3 linked regions of the Arabidopsis thaliana genome follow. The protein of the gene in region 1 purifies or fractionates together with the protein of each later gene. This does not show direct contact. Each region holds a gene or a part of one and is shown in the gene's direction. Other genes may lie near its edges.

Region 1 (4,712 bases):
ATGTGGTTGTGTGTGTGTGGTCCGCTCCCTAGCATAATCTATTAGTTTTTCAAACTTAACGGGGTTAAATGTTGTCTTTTGCAGTTTTGCAGCTAGTTTTAATGAGAAGTTTATAAGAACGATTAGGCATTTCTCCCCACACATGGCTGCAAAAATGAGACCTCCCCACATGTGAGTTCCATATTAATTAGGTTCATGGAAGATATAAATAGGGTTCGTAGTTACATTTGTAATTTTATTTAATATGTGATCACTGCAGGCCTGTCATCCGTGGAAGATCGACAGCAAGAAAGACAGTATACGTTTGTGGGAAACCGCGATGGGTATTCGTTATTACTTTCCTTACAGGTACTTGAATACTCATAATTCCTCTTTATGTAGTTAATGTAATATTGGTGTTAAAAACTGATCAATGTGTTAATTTTCTCATGTATATATAGCCAGTCTTGTCATGTGGTTTTCTTCCTGCGGTTTGTTGTGGGTCCTCTATGCACTTCTCACTTCCCTTGCTGGTAAAGTTATTCCTCCTGTTTGATCATAGATGTCCTTTGATGGAGTTTATGTTTTGACCTTAACATTTTTTCTCCACAGTGATCATTGTTCATGCAAGCATAAGAACCCCAAATCTCAAGGCACGCTTAAACACATTCCGTGAAGAATTCCGGGCTGTCTGGCGTAACTACAGTGAACTTTAAGTCACAGGTCGCGCTACACAATCTAGAAACAAACAAAACAGTCATCTGACAAGTGAGGGGATGCTTTCCCTCAACCATGTTCGCAGTTTATTCTTATGATGGCAGATGTAGCTCTATTTTTACATGGTTAAGATGGTTATTGGCAGTTCGATAGCAGACAGAATAGATTCACTTGAAATAGTGGACATACTTGACCAAGTTACTTCTAATTGGTGTAGTGATGTTTATACTTTTCTCACTGTCTCACAATACTCTTTTTTTATATAAATAGATCCAAACATAATTGAATGGTGTTTCAAGTACAAAATTTGGAAGACAAAGAGCATCGGAAAATAACATTGTTTTCTTATTTCAATACTTGACAAAGTTCTTGAGAGATTTCAACCACAGTAAGTGCTCTCTACTATCCTTGTTGATCATGTACTCGTGCAAGAAGTTGATCATGCTCGGCTTTATCCCTCTAATCTCAATGTACCTATGGAAAGCCTTCCTTAGCTTTTCATCCAAAACCCTGCAGAAAGAAACCATCAAAGATCATCGCTTTGATTCTGGTAACATCAAAAGCTTAAAACTTTTTCTTCTATTACCTGAAGGAAGGTCCTTCATAAGCAAGCTCATCTTTGGAAGGATCATCAGGAAATGTAACCCACATGTCCTTGATCGCAATCCTGTCTGGAAAAGCAGTACATCTAAATTCCAAACTTGGTCCTGTCTTCTTGGAAAGAGTTACTAAGAGAGGCACATTCGATTGCTTAGGCTTCAATGGCTTATCCTCATCTTCATCTTCTTCATTCTCTGCTTCTTCCTCATCATCTTCATCATCTTCTTTGTCACCAGTCACAAGATTAGTCATGTGTACTTCAACTTTAACAGTCTCTCCTTCATATTCTCTAGTCAATGTCACAATCTTCCCTCCTGGTTTGTCTTCCATTTCGAAAGGGAAGCCACTTGGAGTTTCTTCAACCTTTATTCAAACAAAAGAAGAAACAGAGAGATTACACACCATTGCCATTGAAACAGAGCTTCACGAAACACATAAATCTTAATAAACAAAATTTGCAGAAACTAAAACATGAAAATGGTAAGGATTTACTCGATGATAATCATCAGCTTTCTCGGCGTATCCAATCTCCTCTTCAATGATTCGAAGAAGCGGATCAGTTGGAGAAGCTCTCTTTTTGGTCGATGTGGTAAATGGAACATTCCGGTCAACCGACGGCGTCAGATGTCGCCTCCGGCCAGAAGCGGACTGGTCCAACAATGAGTAAACGAAAGAACGGTTTTTCCAATAACTTCCCACAAACCGAGAAGCTGCGCGACGTACAAGAGTCGCCATTTTTTTTGTGTTGAAGCTCAAATTGGAAGAGTGAGGGTTTTTATTTCCCTTTAGGGTTTAATATAGCAAATTACAAATTTAGCGGGACTTAAATTAAAAATCACAGAAAATCAGGACCGGCTAAAAATACGGGCCAATATGGGCCTAGTGGCCCATTACGACATTAAGAGACCGTTTCCATAATCCGAAACCCTAGTTTGCTTCTGTCTTTAGTTGTTGCCTTTTAAACTAAACTAACGAACTTAATAAGCGGCATATCTAAATCTGAGAAAAATGGCGATTGATACGATACAAAAAACAAAAAAGCTTCGGTGGGGAGAAATTGACGAAGAAGAAGGCGACTATGATTTCCTTCTTCCGCCTAAGCAGATGATTAGTCCGGACCAGAACGGTGTAAAGAAGGTGATTGAGTACAAATTCAACGAAGAGGACAAAAAGGTCAAAATCACTACCACGACCCGTGTTCAGAAGCGAGCTCTCACCAAACAAGCCGTGGAGCGACGGAGCTGGAATAAGTTCGGAGACGCAGCTCATGAAGAATCCAGTAGTTACCTCACAATGCGTTCAACAGAGGATATCATCTTGGAACGAATTAGAGCTCCTGGTAAAATCTTCAACTTTGCATTTTAGTTTGTTAGGATTCGTTGTTATTATGCTCTGTTTTGATTAGGGTGGCTAATTAGCCAGTCACATGTTAGCTTTATGGCTACTGTTTGTGTGAATGGTCAGTAAGCACACCTATAGCAATGTCGTTGGTGATTCGTTTCAACACTAGAACAGGATTTAACCCAGTTTTTGGTTATGGATCATCAACTATATCTTTGGTTCAAGTTTTTTTTTTGTAACTGTGTAACATAACAAAGGTGCCCAATTAGCCGATCACATATTAGCCATATATGGCTGCTTCTTTCTGTGATTGGTCAGTATGTCACCAATATAAGTATCTTGTTGGTAGCCTTTTCTGAATGTGGACAAATTCTGTGTTCTCTTTTCTAGGCTATTAACTGTACACATTCAAGTATTCATTTTTACATAAGTTTCTTTATAGGTGGACACGTTAGTCAGCCATATTGTTCTATATGTGGGTGGCCGTAATGCCCACCTAGATGTTTTGTTGGTGGCTTCTTGCACGAAAGTAGATTTCTGCTTTCACTTTATAGCTGCCAACTACATTTTTAGTTTTTGCATTACCATCTTAAAGGGTAGTATTATTTTGAGGTTTTAAGATGTTTATTCTTTTGAATATCTCAGGTAGCAACGCGGAACAGTCGACCGTATCAGGAGATAGCATGTCTCAGTTGGGCAAACCGGGTGCGGTCCTCATGGTCTGCAGGTTATGCCAAAAGAAAGGTGACCACTGGACATCAAGATGCCCACAGAAGGATCTCTTATCCTTAATGGACGAGCCTTTAACAGCAGAAACTTCTACATCGACCATAACTGGAACTGGCAGGGCGGCTTATGTCCCGCCAAGCATGAGAGAAGGTGCAGACAGAAAAGCTGGTGGTTCAGACATGAGGAGTAGACATGATGAGAACTCTGTCCGTGTGACTAATTTGTCTGAAGATACCCGTGGACCAGATTTGATGGAGTTGTTTCGTCCGTTTGGTGCTGTAACCCGTTGTCATGTAGCCATTGATCAGAAGACAAGCATGAGCAGAGGATTTGGTTTTGTCAGTTTTGTGAGCAGGGAAGATGCACAGCGAGCAATCAACAAATTGAATGGCTATGGTTATGATAACCTCATTCTTAGGGTTGAATGGTCCACTCCTAAAACCCAATTAGATCCGTTTTCATTCGCTGATTATAATAATCTTTGTAAGTTGTTGAATATATGTCATTCATGATTATAAGTTCTCGCGATACATAGTAATTCATGTTGGGGTCTCGTATGCAAGTTCCTACTAAATGTATTTCGGTTGAATACGTGCAAAAAAAGTAATAAAACTCTCTTTATTACGGCAAGCATGTTACTTAGAAATGATCATAAGGGAAGGACCAAGTAAGGGCAATTAATCAAGTGAATATCATCAAATTCAAAGAGATGGGAAACAAGGACTCGAAAGGCTCTTCTTCTTCAACCAATCCGAAAGAGGAGATTGCTGCTGTACCTCAGCCTCAACAGTCACCACCGCAATTGATCCGAAAATCGCAACCACAGCAGCCATTACCACCACCTTCGTCTGAGATGCCTCTTCTCTATCCGTGTTACAAAAAAGAAGACTATGAGAAAATGAGCGAAGAGACAATCGATATGCTCTTAGCGACTTACGGAATCATGACAGTCCCTGGCGATTTAGCTGACAAGAGAAAGTTTGCTTTTGAAACCTTTCGTTGGGATCATAAGAACAATCACCCCAAAGCTTAGCAACTACTTGTCTAGTATAATGAAACTAACGTTTTATGATTGGACCTAAACACATTCATAATTCGTTCATTAACACAAGAAAATATAAATCAAAATGCTAGTACTTGTACAATATCGAATATTTTAATCACTTTAACATCTCTTGAACAAGTTTCAGAAAAAATTGTTAAGACTAAAAGGCCCTAATTTTACCAAAATAATTATATTTTATTTTGAGTTTTGCCAAAGGTCCAAAAATGAATTGAGCCGGAACTGTATCCAATATGGAACATAGTTTTTACAAAATTATAGTTTTACAAAATTTAAACTATAT
Region 2 (5,306 bases), on another chromosome or scaffold:
GAAATCAGATTACTGAACATTCGACTAATCATCAGGCATTTACCTTTCATAGAAAACAGTTCAAAAAGCAATATAAAGCCAAAAAACGAAAAAAAGATTATCCTGAAATTAATCCACAGTACTGGTTTTTTTTTTTTTTAAAAAGGAGACCGCGTTTCTACGCTGACTTTCAAATCAGTCGCGTCGGTATTATTCCACACGCCTTTTTTCTCGTCCCCATCCTCTATCCACATTTCTCTCTATATATACTCTCCTCGTATCCTAAACTCATCCTCAAATTCAAAATTTAACACACAAACACAAACACACACACCAAAAAAAACACAGACCTTAAAAAAATAAAAATGGTTGATATGGATTGGAAGAGGAAGATGGTATCATCAGATTTACCAAACTCACCTAAGCTTTCTTCAAAGCTTCACGTAACTATTCCATCACCGTTCAAAATCGTCCCTGTTTCATCTCCGATCTCATGTTCAGCACCTGCTCTTTGCTCTGCTTACGAGCTTTACCTTCGTCTCCCTGAGCTAAGAAAGCTCTGGTCATCTCGTGATTTTCCTCAATGGACATCAGAGCCGATTCTCAAACCAGCTCTTCAAGCTTTGGAGATCAGTTTCAGATTAGTTTTCGCCGTTTGTTCTGATACTAGACCGTACATCAACCACCGTGAATGGAACCGGAGGCTAGATTCTCTCATCACGAAGCAGATCCAGCTTGTAGCAGCGATCTGCGAAGATGAAGAAGAAGAAGGTATATCAGCGGAGGCTCCGGTCGGCGGTGGACGGAGTTCGTTGAGTTTGTTACCGCAGCTAGCTACGTGGAGGAGATCAGAGGCTTTGGGGAAGAAGATCTTATATACGATCGATAACGAGATGAGTCGGTGTAAGTACACGCTCGGACTCGGTGAACAAAACATCGCCGGAAAACCAAATCTCCGGTACGATGCGATTTGCCGACCAAACGAGATCTATAGCCTCAAGGATAATCCATACGCAGATCATATCGATAATCACGAGAATCAAACTCTCTATATCATTCACCAGATCCTCGAATCGTGGATCTACGCATCTGGAAATCTTCTGAATCGAATCGTCTCAAGTATCGAAGAAGAGAAATTCGGAAAAGCTTCAAACGATGTTTACTTGCTGGAGAAGATCTGGAAAATTTTAGCGGAGATTGAAGATCTTCATATGTTGATGGATCCGGAAGATTTTTTGAAATTGAAGAAACAGTTACAGATCAAATCGACGGGTAAAAACGATGCGTTTTGTTTCAGATCTAAAGGATTAGTGGAGATGATGAAGATGTCGAAAGATCTGAGACAGAAAGTACCGGCGGTCTTGGCGGTTGAGGTAGATCCAACCGGAGGACCAAGATTACAAGAGGCGGCGATGAAGCTTTACGCGAGGAAGACAGAGTGCGATAAGATTCATTTGCTTCAGGGGATGCAAGCGGTGGAAGCGGCGGCGAAGAGTTTCTTCTTTGGGTATAGGCAGTTAGTGGCGGCTATGATGGGAAGTGCGGAGATGAACGCGACGGCGAGTCAAGAGTCGTGTGACTCACTGAGTCAGATATTTATGGAGCCGACGTATTTCCCGAGCCTTGACGCGGCAAAGACGTTTCTGGGAGAGTTTTGGAGTCATTTGGGATGATTAAATTTTAATTTCTGCTGGTATAATTATTTAATATAAATTTAAATTGGTGGTTTGGTTTAATTTAGTTTGTAAGATAGTGAAATTTTTGGAACATTTGACGATCCATATTTGAATACAAATTCATTTTTATATGATTTATGAGATTTTTTAACAAACGATAACATTTACGAATATCGTAATCCATACTTTGAATTATCCACAAGTCGTAATTCAAATATGGGTGGTCTACTAACGAGTAACGACTAATCTATATGCTCTGACTAATCGTCAACAAATCACCACCTATCCTTCGTAGATGTTAGTGTATGAGAAAAACACAATTTCACACCTATCCTTTGTAGATGTTAAATTATGAGAAAAACACAATTTCACTTTCACAGTGTATAATATTCAAAATTCAATGATAAACACACACACAAAAACGTTATAAAAAACCCAAACCGACGATGAGTAACCAAACCGATGTATAAAACGACATTGCCTTTCTCTGTTTTTTGTGTTCAACAAATTTCATTAAGAGAAAGAAGGGAAGTGTTTGAATGAGTATTCATTCATTAGTCCAAGAAAAACATTTAATGGGCCTGTTTGTAGGCCCACTGGCACATAACCTATCTTCTGTATCATTGATGCCTTCTCCTACCTTCCTCTGACGCTCACATCGGAAACCCTAAATCTCCACTCTCTCGCGCCTTTTACCCCTTCTCAGAATCTTAACCATGGCGGCGACGAGCGAGCACACCATCTTGCAATTTGTGTCTCCGTCATCAACGGCGTCCGCTACAACCTCTGTACTCACGGCGAGGATCCACCCTCTCGTTATCTTTAACGTCTGTGATTGCTTCGTGAGACGTCCTGACTCAGCTGAACGAGTCATCGGAACTCTCCTCGGATCTATCTTACCTGACGGAACCGTCGATATCCGCAATTCATACGCCGTCCCTCACAATGAATCATCCGATCAGGTTCGAAATTTTGATCTCTAAATTTCTCCTCTCTCTCGATTCTCTATCGTTGGAGATCCTAGATCTTTCGTAGCTGAAGATTTGCTTGTTAGGATGTGAATGTTTATAGGAGTAGTGTTAGCTTCATACCCCAAGGTTGTGACTTGTGATAAGTTTTGAGGGTTATGGTTTGATATGGATGCAGGTTGCTGTGGATATTGATTACCACCACAATATGTTAGCTTCACACCTTAAGGTGAATTCAAAGGAAACTATTGTCGGCTGGTACTTCTCGTTTCCCACTCTTATTCTCTTATACTCTCATGATTAGTCTCATATCTTTGTCACATGATTCTTGTAGCTGTGTTGGAACACTGCATTAGGTAGTTTCTCATTTTGGAATAGTTGATTGAACAAGTTTATTGATTTGCAGGTATTCAACTGGTGCTGGGGTTAATGGCGGTAGTTCGCTGATTCATGATTTCTATGCTAGAGAAGTACCCAACCCAATTCACCTAACTGTGGATACTGGGTTTACTAATGGTGAGGGTACTATCAAAGCTTTTGTCTCTTCAAACCTCTCACTCGGTGATCGACAACTCGTTGCACATTTTCAAGAGATTCCTGTTGATCTCCGCATGGTTGATGCTGAGAGAGTCGGATGTGAGTATTCTATCCTTTTATTAGTAACCAATTCTATATTCAAAATACATAACAGTCCTCATTCCTCAATTGTCTAAGTAGTTCAGTTTCTGCATGGTTGATTCAGTATCTAGAGATTGTTTCCCTAATGATTGTGAATGAACCAACGGGAATAGATGATCTTTGGTTGTGTCTGTTCAGTAGATTAATGATTGTGACTGATTTAAAAACATCATTTTGATCCACAGTCGATGTACTTAAGGCAACATCTGTTGACAAACTCCCAAATGACTTGGAAGGAATGGAGTTAACAATGGAGAGGCTGTTAACTCTAATCAACGATGTCTACAAATATGTTGACAGTGTCGTGGTAAGCTTATGATATCCTTGACTGTCTATTATCGACCATAGATACATGATCTTTGATACAGAGTTTTAATGAAATTTCCCAGGGAGGTCAAATAGCTCCAGACAACAACATTGGACGATTCATTGCAGATGCAGTAGCCTCCCTTCCCAAGTTACCTCCACAAGTCTTCGATAACCTCGTGAATGATAGTCTCCAGGTAAAAGATTGTAAATTTCAAGCCAAAGCAAAACACTTTGTAAAAAACTAATGGTTGTTTCTTCTGTTATTTCAGGACCAATTGCTTCTGTTGTACCTATCAAGCATAACAAGGACACAGTTGAGTCTAGCGGAGAAGCTAAACACAGCTGCTCAAATGCTATAATAAGCTTGGAAACACAAGGTTTTGCTAAAAATGGGGAATGCTGCTTTTTTGGTTTCGAATTTTCTTTTAACAAGTTTATGTAAGAATCAGCTTCTTGTTGTAGTGTTCCTAAATTGCAAGTTTAAGAAAGACAAAATGCTCTGTTTCGTGAATTAAGGTCTTTAAAAGGGATTTTTAGTTGGTGTGCCTAATTTTAAACAATATACATATAAATGAGCTTTGTTCTTTTTTTATTTGCCACTTGTTGCGCCTAATCTTTATCACTGGAGATATTTATGCTCAGAATTTTGGATCATGGTCTCTCTCTATTAGCTATGTTACATTGAAAGAGTATAGAAGCCTAGAATTACTGCTTTCTCTTTTGCCGTATTGCGATTGGCCTATGTAGGATCTTACAAAACAGGCTTAATAGACACTATTGGAAACTAACTTCTAAATTGTAAACAATTTGCGATTTGCGGTTGCATATAATAATGCTAACTTTGGCATATAATAGACACTATTGGAAGTTAATATCTAAATATTACACAACATTTGCGATTGAAATCATTCAGCAATTTTTTCATTTCCTGCTTTCACTACACAACTAACACAATCAATTTTTTTACCCGTTTTTTTGTCTTTCTGATAAGCTAAATTAGAGCTACGGTTTATGTATCGGAATACATTAAACTGATTTCGCTGAATCCGAACGAGTATTTGAAGTTTTTGTGGTTAAAAACTTGATTATTTTAGTTTGTGTTGTAAAAACATGAGGGGAGTTTTTGTGGAATGGATTTTGATAGCAAATGTATACGCCTGTTTCTCTGTCAACATACGTACTACATACGATGTTATACAGACATATACGACCGTACCAGTACATGTACATATCAAACTTGAGAAGAATATGTGTAGGCCGGTGTGTAGATGGGTCAACATTAAAGACGTGCATGCACTTGTGATGTAAGTGAACAACTTGCATACATTGTTCACAGTAATCTAACTTATCATTCCACTTCACCCACCTTCACTCTATGGTTATTGGTCTCCATAGCCTTTGCCTTTTCTCTTTATTTATACATTGACGTAGTATCATACGTATTAGTGCTAACCGATAAATTAATATTCGAATCATTTTCATAGTAGTTGTGGGTTACATTTATTTAAAACCTGAAAATTTACGATAATTTGCAATAATTCTCATGATTTTATGAGACGGACTAAACATAACACGGAGAAAACACATACTCGACGACTAGCTACAACTATATTTATGAATTAGGGATGGGCACTCGACTTTTCAATACGATCGACATCATATTTTAGACCAAAATAATTCTTAAAACGCTCTTTGA
Region 3 (5,629 bases), on another chromosome or scaffold:
ATGATTGAGTATGTTGGTCAAGTTTGGAACTGATATCAAATACTAGATCACCAACAAAAAGCGATGCCTCCAATAAGAAGATTATTTAAATATCTATCCAAAAAATACTGTCCAATATTACAAGGACTGTAAATCATAAAGATAATTTAGTGTACATGTAGACCTTCATTTGCTCATTAGAATTTTTTTTCAGTTTGGGGATCTTTCAATGATTGGGATGCAGGAAGCCTCTCCAAAATGTTCTGATTGAGTTGAAGTAGAAATGAAGATGGTCAGAAAAACCATAAGAAACACGACCTTCAATAAGGAAAAAATGTAAGAAAGTATCCAAAAAATCATGTCCAACGTAACAAGGAGTAGACGATTAATAAAATTTGGTACCCCATTGTAGGTTTGTTGACTTGGATGTTCCCACTTGTATCGAAAATAGGATCTGACACAATGTTCCTAACCTAAATTTTGTTTTTAAAGTAAATTAGTCAAGTAATGACTTGCAAACTAAGGTGGGGTTTTAAAGTAAGGAGTGTCCAAACAACAGTACCTTCATGTTTGCGTATGAATGGACAAATTTCTTTGGATGACATCAATAACGATGATCACATGATGTGCAAAAGCAAGTCTAACTGATGTATTCACCCACTCGCCTAAAGAAATTAACAAAGTTAAAAGTTTGATATTATGTACTCTAAGGTTTTCTATTGACTAATCACATTATAATGACCAATTATATCAACACAAATGGATAAGTCAAATTACTCTTTTACAACTTAATACCAGACAATCAATGTTGAGTAGCAGTAAGAACAAAGTTAAATCAATATCCTAATCTGGCCATAGGATCACCTAAAGCTCTAGCATCCAAGCTTACATATTATTTCTTAAATCAATGATTTGATTTCTTCCAAAATGTAAGATTAAGAAATAGAACCTTTATATGGCTTTTTCCTTGAATTATCAAACACCAAGCTGTGCAGTCATGTATGGTCGTGGACAATGATTTTCAATTTTGTAACGACACATACGCTGCAAACAAAATGTGTGGTTGTCCATTACGGATTGTCCAAGTGTTGTAGTCCATATGTTCATCTTCTGTCCAATAGAGAACCTCAAGTACTGAATTTCAAACAAACTGGGCAGAGAAGTTATCAAACATTATCACAGAATTACGAACAAGATCTCCGAAGTCAACATGACAAAACTTTACCTTAGTTGTTCCGAAATTCTTGAACTTTTCTCGAAGTAACCTCAATTGAAATTGAAATTGAGTTTGGACAGTACGAGTTAAGAGATTTTCAGGCAAAGTAAATCCAAATCGATTTAAGAAATTGCAGAGATTTAGAGGAAATGACAAGAGAATTGGGTTTGGTGTTTTACGGTTGAAAGAGCAAACGAGAGTGTAGTGTGAAAAGCAGTGGTGGTGGACAGTGACGGAGGAGATGGATATCCCGTCGCCGGAGTCCCCTTTTCGAGAAATTGTAATTTAGGATTTTTTATTGGATTTGGATTTTTACGATTCTGGAAAAAAAATTTAAATCACAAAGGCAACTACAAAATCGTGGACTCCATAAATCTGAATTGGTTTAGTGAAAATAGATTTGATTTGTTTGGTTATAGAAAACCGACGATACGAGGGTGAACAAGTAATTTTAATTATTCAAAGTGCCTAATGATTTTTAAGTGCCTAATTACGGATAAACTTTCAAAAAAGTGTCTAATCACGTAATATTCTCTTATAGTAAACCCTAATTCGCCTCTCTTCTTAACGATTCGTTATTCTCTAGTCAAGCATCTCCATCGTCTCACATCAATCTCTCCATCGTCTCAAATCAATCAAAGGTAATTTCATTCTTCTTCATCTTTCCTTGAACAAATTTTAGGTTCGAGTTTTTTGTTCTTCATCTATGTTTTGTGTCCCCCCTGCAATTATATCTCCATCGTCTCAAAGTTTTATATTTTGATGTATCAGGTTCTTCTCCTTGCTAACGAAGATGACGACGACTTCTCGTTTTTTCGCTCAGGTTTCTTTCCATAGACCTTTGTTTACTTATCAAAACCTATATTTTTTTGTAACAGTTTCTTAATGCTTTTTCTTTGCTTATGTTTCGTTTACAGAGTGGAAGTGAAAGTGAAGATGAGAGTGACTTTGAAAAAGAAGAGGTTGAGGGTAACAACACTCGTTACCTTGCAGACTTACCTGACGGTGAGATTTGTTGTGGTATGGATACTAAACGTGTGGTTAAGCCAAAAAAAGATAAACGTTTTGAGGAGATGGCCAACACTATAGAGAATATGAAGCATGCCATGAACATCAATGATTGTGTTTACTTGCAAGAAACGTTTGAGAAACTCAACAAACAGATTAGTAAGTCCGTAAAGACTCCGACTTTGTATATCAAGACCCTTGTGATGTTGGAAGATTTCTTGAATGAAGATAATATGAAAACAAAGGAGAAGATGAGTACTAGTAACTCCAAGGCTTTGAACGCAATGAGACAGAAACTGAAGAAGAACAATCTGCAGTACCAAGAAGATATCAAAAGATTTAGGGAGTCTCCAGAAATCGAAGACGATGATGAGTATGAAGAGGAGGTGGTGGAGGATTCTGCTGATAATGTTTCTTGGGAGATGTTGTTTAGTTTAGATCATGAAGAGATAACTTGGAACATGGTCAACAAGAAGTTCAAAGAAATTAGGGCTGCTCGTTGGAGCAAAAGAAGAAGTTCTAGCCTTAAACTCAAACCCGGCGAGACTCATGCGCAGAAGCATATGGACTTGACAAAGATCGCCAAGACTCCTGCACAGAAGGTTGAAATCTTGTTTAGTGTTATTTCAGCAGAGTTTAATGTGAATTCTGGTGGTCTCAGCGGATACATGCCTATCGATGTCTGGAAGAAATGTGTGGTTAACATGCTTACCATACTTGACATTCTTGTCAAGTACTATAACATTGTTGTGGATGATACCGTTGAACCTGATGAGAAGGAAACTTCAAAGCCAGCGGCATACGATGGAACCATTCGGGTCTCGGGAAATTTGGTTGCATTCTTAGAGAAGATTGAGACAGAGTTTTTCAAGAGTTTGCAGTGCATTGATCCTCACACCAATGATTATGTTGAGAGGTTGAAAGATGAGCCTATGTTCTTGGCTCTTGCTCAGAGTATCCAAGACTACTTGGAGCGGACAGGCGATTCTAAAGCTGCTTCAAAGGTAGCCTTTATACTAGTCGAGTCAATCTATTACAAGCCTCAAGAAGTTTTTGATGCTATGAGTAAATTGGCTGATGAGGAAATTGAGGAGGCTAACGAGGAAAGTGGATCTTCTTCTTCTTCATTCATTGTTGTTGCGGAGATTGTTCCTCGTAAGCCTACCTTCGCAAAGAGCAGCAGAGCTATGATGGATACACTTGTATCCTTTATCTACAAAAATGGAGATGAGAGGACCAAAGCCAGAGCAATGCTATGTGATATCTATCAACATGCTTTAATGGACAATTTTGTTACTGCTAGAGACTTGTTGCTGATGAGTCATCTACAAGAAAACATTCAACACATGGACATCTCTACACAGATTCTCTTTAACAGGACAATGGCACAACTTGGTCTTTGCGCTTTTCGGGTTGGAATGATAACTGAGTCACATAGCTGTCTCTCTGAGCTGTACTCTGGGAATAGAGTTAGGGAGTTGCTTGGTCAAGGTGTCTCGCAAAGTCGAGACCACGAGAAGACAACAGAGCAGGTAAATATTGACCTTATAGAACATATTATGTTCTTTTTCATTTTAGTAGAGTCTAATTTCTCTGTTTTTTGTTTTAACTATAGATGCTTATGGAGAGGAGAACACAAATACCGTACCATATGAACATAAACCTCGAGCTCTTGGAGGCTGTTTATCTTACTTGTGCCATGCTACTTGAAGTCCCAAACATGGCAGCAAACTCGCATGATTCCAAACACAAACCGATTAGCAAGAATATTCAGCGCCTGCTCGAGAAAAGTGAGAAGCAAGCGTTCACTGCACCCCCTGAAAATGTACGTGTCCATGTCATTGCAGCCACCAGAGCCCTGATCAAAGGAAACTTCCAAGAAGCGTTTTCAGTTTTGAACTCTCTTGATATCTGGAGACTGTTCAAGAACCGCGACAGCATACTCGATATGGTGAAAGCTAGTATCAGTGAAGTGGCTCTAAGGACTTATTTATTCACATACTCGAGCTCCTGTTACAAGTCCTTAAGTCTAGCTGAGCTAGCCAAAATGTTTGACATCTCTGAGTCACACGTCTATAGTATTGTGAGCAAGATGATGATCAACAAGGAGCTTAATGCAACATGGGACCAGCCAACTCAATGCATCGTCTTCCATGAAGTGCAACATAACAGAGCACAATCCTTGGCTTTTCAGATTACCGAAAAACTCGCGACTCTAGCAGAAAGCAACGAAAGTGCAATGGAGTCTAAAACTGGTGGTGTTGGCCTTGATATGACTTCAAGGAGAAGGGAAAACAGTCAGGACTATGCAGCAGCAGCATCAGACAACAGAGGTCTGAAAATGGATGGCTCAAGTCTTACCCGAGGCGTTTCTGCGTAAAGAGAATGTGGAGAAATCTGCAGGCAGTGTTAACCTTAGGCTCTTACTAAGAGTCTAAGACCTGTCATTATGTTTCATTACAGTTTTAGGTTTTGTTTTGTTACCAAAGGTTGTTTATGAATTGTTATTGTTGGAGCTCATGTTCTTGCAGCTCTGGTTTTATCAATATGACATCATATGCATACACTGGAATCATTAGACGTTTATAAAATATTTTATTCTTAGCTTCCTTGTTACCAAGTACAGGTACAATAGCAATAAGAGCACCATTAGTCCTTAGAATGGCTACAGTGAGAATATCAGGAAAAGAGTAAATCTGTGGAACACAGCCACAGGAGTCCAACAAGTAAAAAATAAAACAAGCCTTTTTCAGCTAGTTCAGATTTGTTTAGACCAATTCTGAACACTCCCAACCCTAGGCATCGCTTCTTTCTTGGCCTCAGAATCCACTTTAAACGTTACACCGCAAACCTCACCCGAACTGTCTACCCTTGGTACCGGCTTTAACTCATTTGATGGATGCTCATAGCTCCTCAAACCTCCAGATGAGGTAAAGAAACATCCTGCATTATGCATACACACAACCACATCCTAATTCATATTTGCACTAGATCAAAGAACAGTGAGATGTCTTCAAAACCCGAAAAACGGCTTGCTACATACCTTTAGGGAATGGCGCAAAGGATTTACCACAACCCTTCTTGACAGTCTCAACATCATCAGAAACAACAAGATGTCCTTCAGCATCGGTTCCCCAGTAGAGAGGAACACTCCCATCTACATCCTGAAACGCGTATAATAATAATAACCTCAGCATTACAATATGCAGAAATAAGTGTCAAATAGTAAAGAAGCAGAATTCAAACTTACCCCGGCAAGGAAGACATTTTGTGTGGAGCAGTCATAGAGCATAAACCCGAATTTGCCTTGAAAATCTCTAACAACTTGTTCAGCTGAATACGGACCACGATCTCTTAGAGTTCTGTAGGCTTCAATCACAATGGTAACCTCTGTAGCTGTTTTGGTTAGTCCATATTGTTGCTTAA

The links. Proteins that work in one complex are often made in the same cells at the same time.
Region 2: the proteins of EIF3G2 (region 1) and EIF2 fractionate together in Arabidopsis thaliana (co-fractionation; one large-scale study listed by BioGRID). This does not show direct contact.
Region 3: the proteins of EIF3G2 (region 1) and TIF3C2 fractionate together in Arabidopsis thaliana (co-fractionation; one large-scale study listed by BioGRID). This does not show direct contact.

The regions. Positions count from the first base shown.
Region 1 is NC_003076.8:1,805,865-1,810,576, forward strand, and holds EIF3G2 (eukaryotic translation initiation factor 3G2), read left to right. Parts: upstream 1-2,246; 5' UTR 2,247-2,304; coding exon 2,305-2,635; intron 2,636-2,697; exon of another isoform or gene 2,698-2,852; intron 2,853-2,892; exon of another isoform or gene 2,893-3,047; intron 3,048-3,282; coding exon 3,283-3,878; 3' UTR 3,879-3,992; downstream 3,993-4,712. Other genes in the region: PRA1.A2 (prenylated RAB acceptor 1.A2), read left to right, coding at 85-171, 260-348, 441-512, 592-695; AT5G05990 (Mitochondrial glycoprotein family protein), read right to left, coding at 1,047-1,206, 1,283-1,659, 1,789-2,031; AT5G06010 (uncharacterized protein), read left to right, coding at 4,076-4,399.
Region 2 is NC_003071.7:16,696,995-16,702,300, reverse strand, and holds EIF2 (eukaryotic translation initiation factor 2), read left to right. Parts: upstream 1-1,991; 5' UTR 1,992-2,371; coding exon 2,372-2,617; intron 2,618-2,801; coding exon 2,802-2,881; intron 2,882-3,029; coding exon 3,030-3,259; intron 3,260-3,486; coding exon 3,487-3,608; intron 3,609-3,690; coding exon 3,691-3,804; intron 3,805-3,879; coding exon 3,880-3,969; 3' UTR 3,970-4,260; downstream 4,261-5,306. Other genes in the region: HSPRO2 (ortholog of sugar beet HS1 PRO-1 2), read left to right, coding at 345-1,652.
Region 3 is NC_003074.8:8,089,608-8,095,236, reverse strand, and holds TIF3C2 (eukaryotic translation initiation factor 3 subunit C2), read left to right. Parts: upstream 1-1,988; coding exon 1,989-2,018; intron 2,019-2,112; coding exon 2,113-3,735; intron 3,736-3,818; coding exon 3,819-4,583; downstream 4,584-5,629. Other genes in the region: AT3G22850 (aluminum induced protein with YGL and LRDR motifs), read right to left, coding at 4,962-5,146, 5,247-5,367, 5,454-5,629.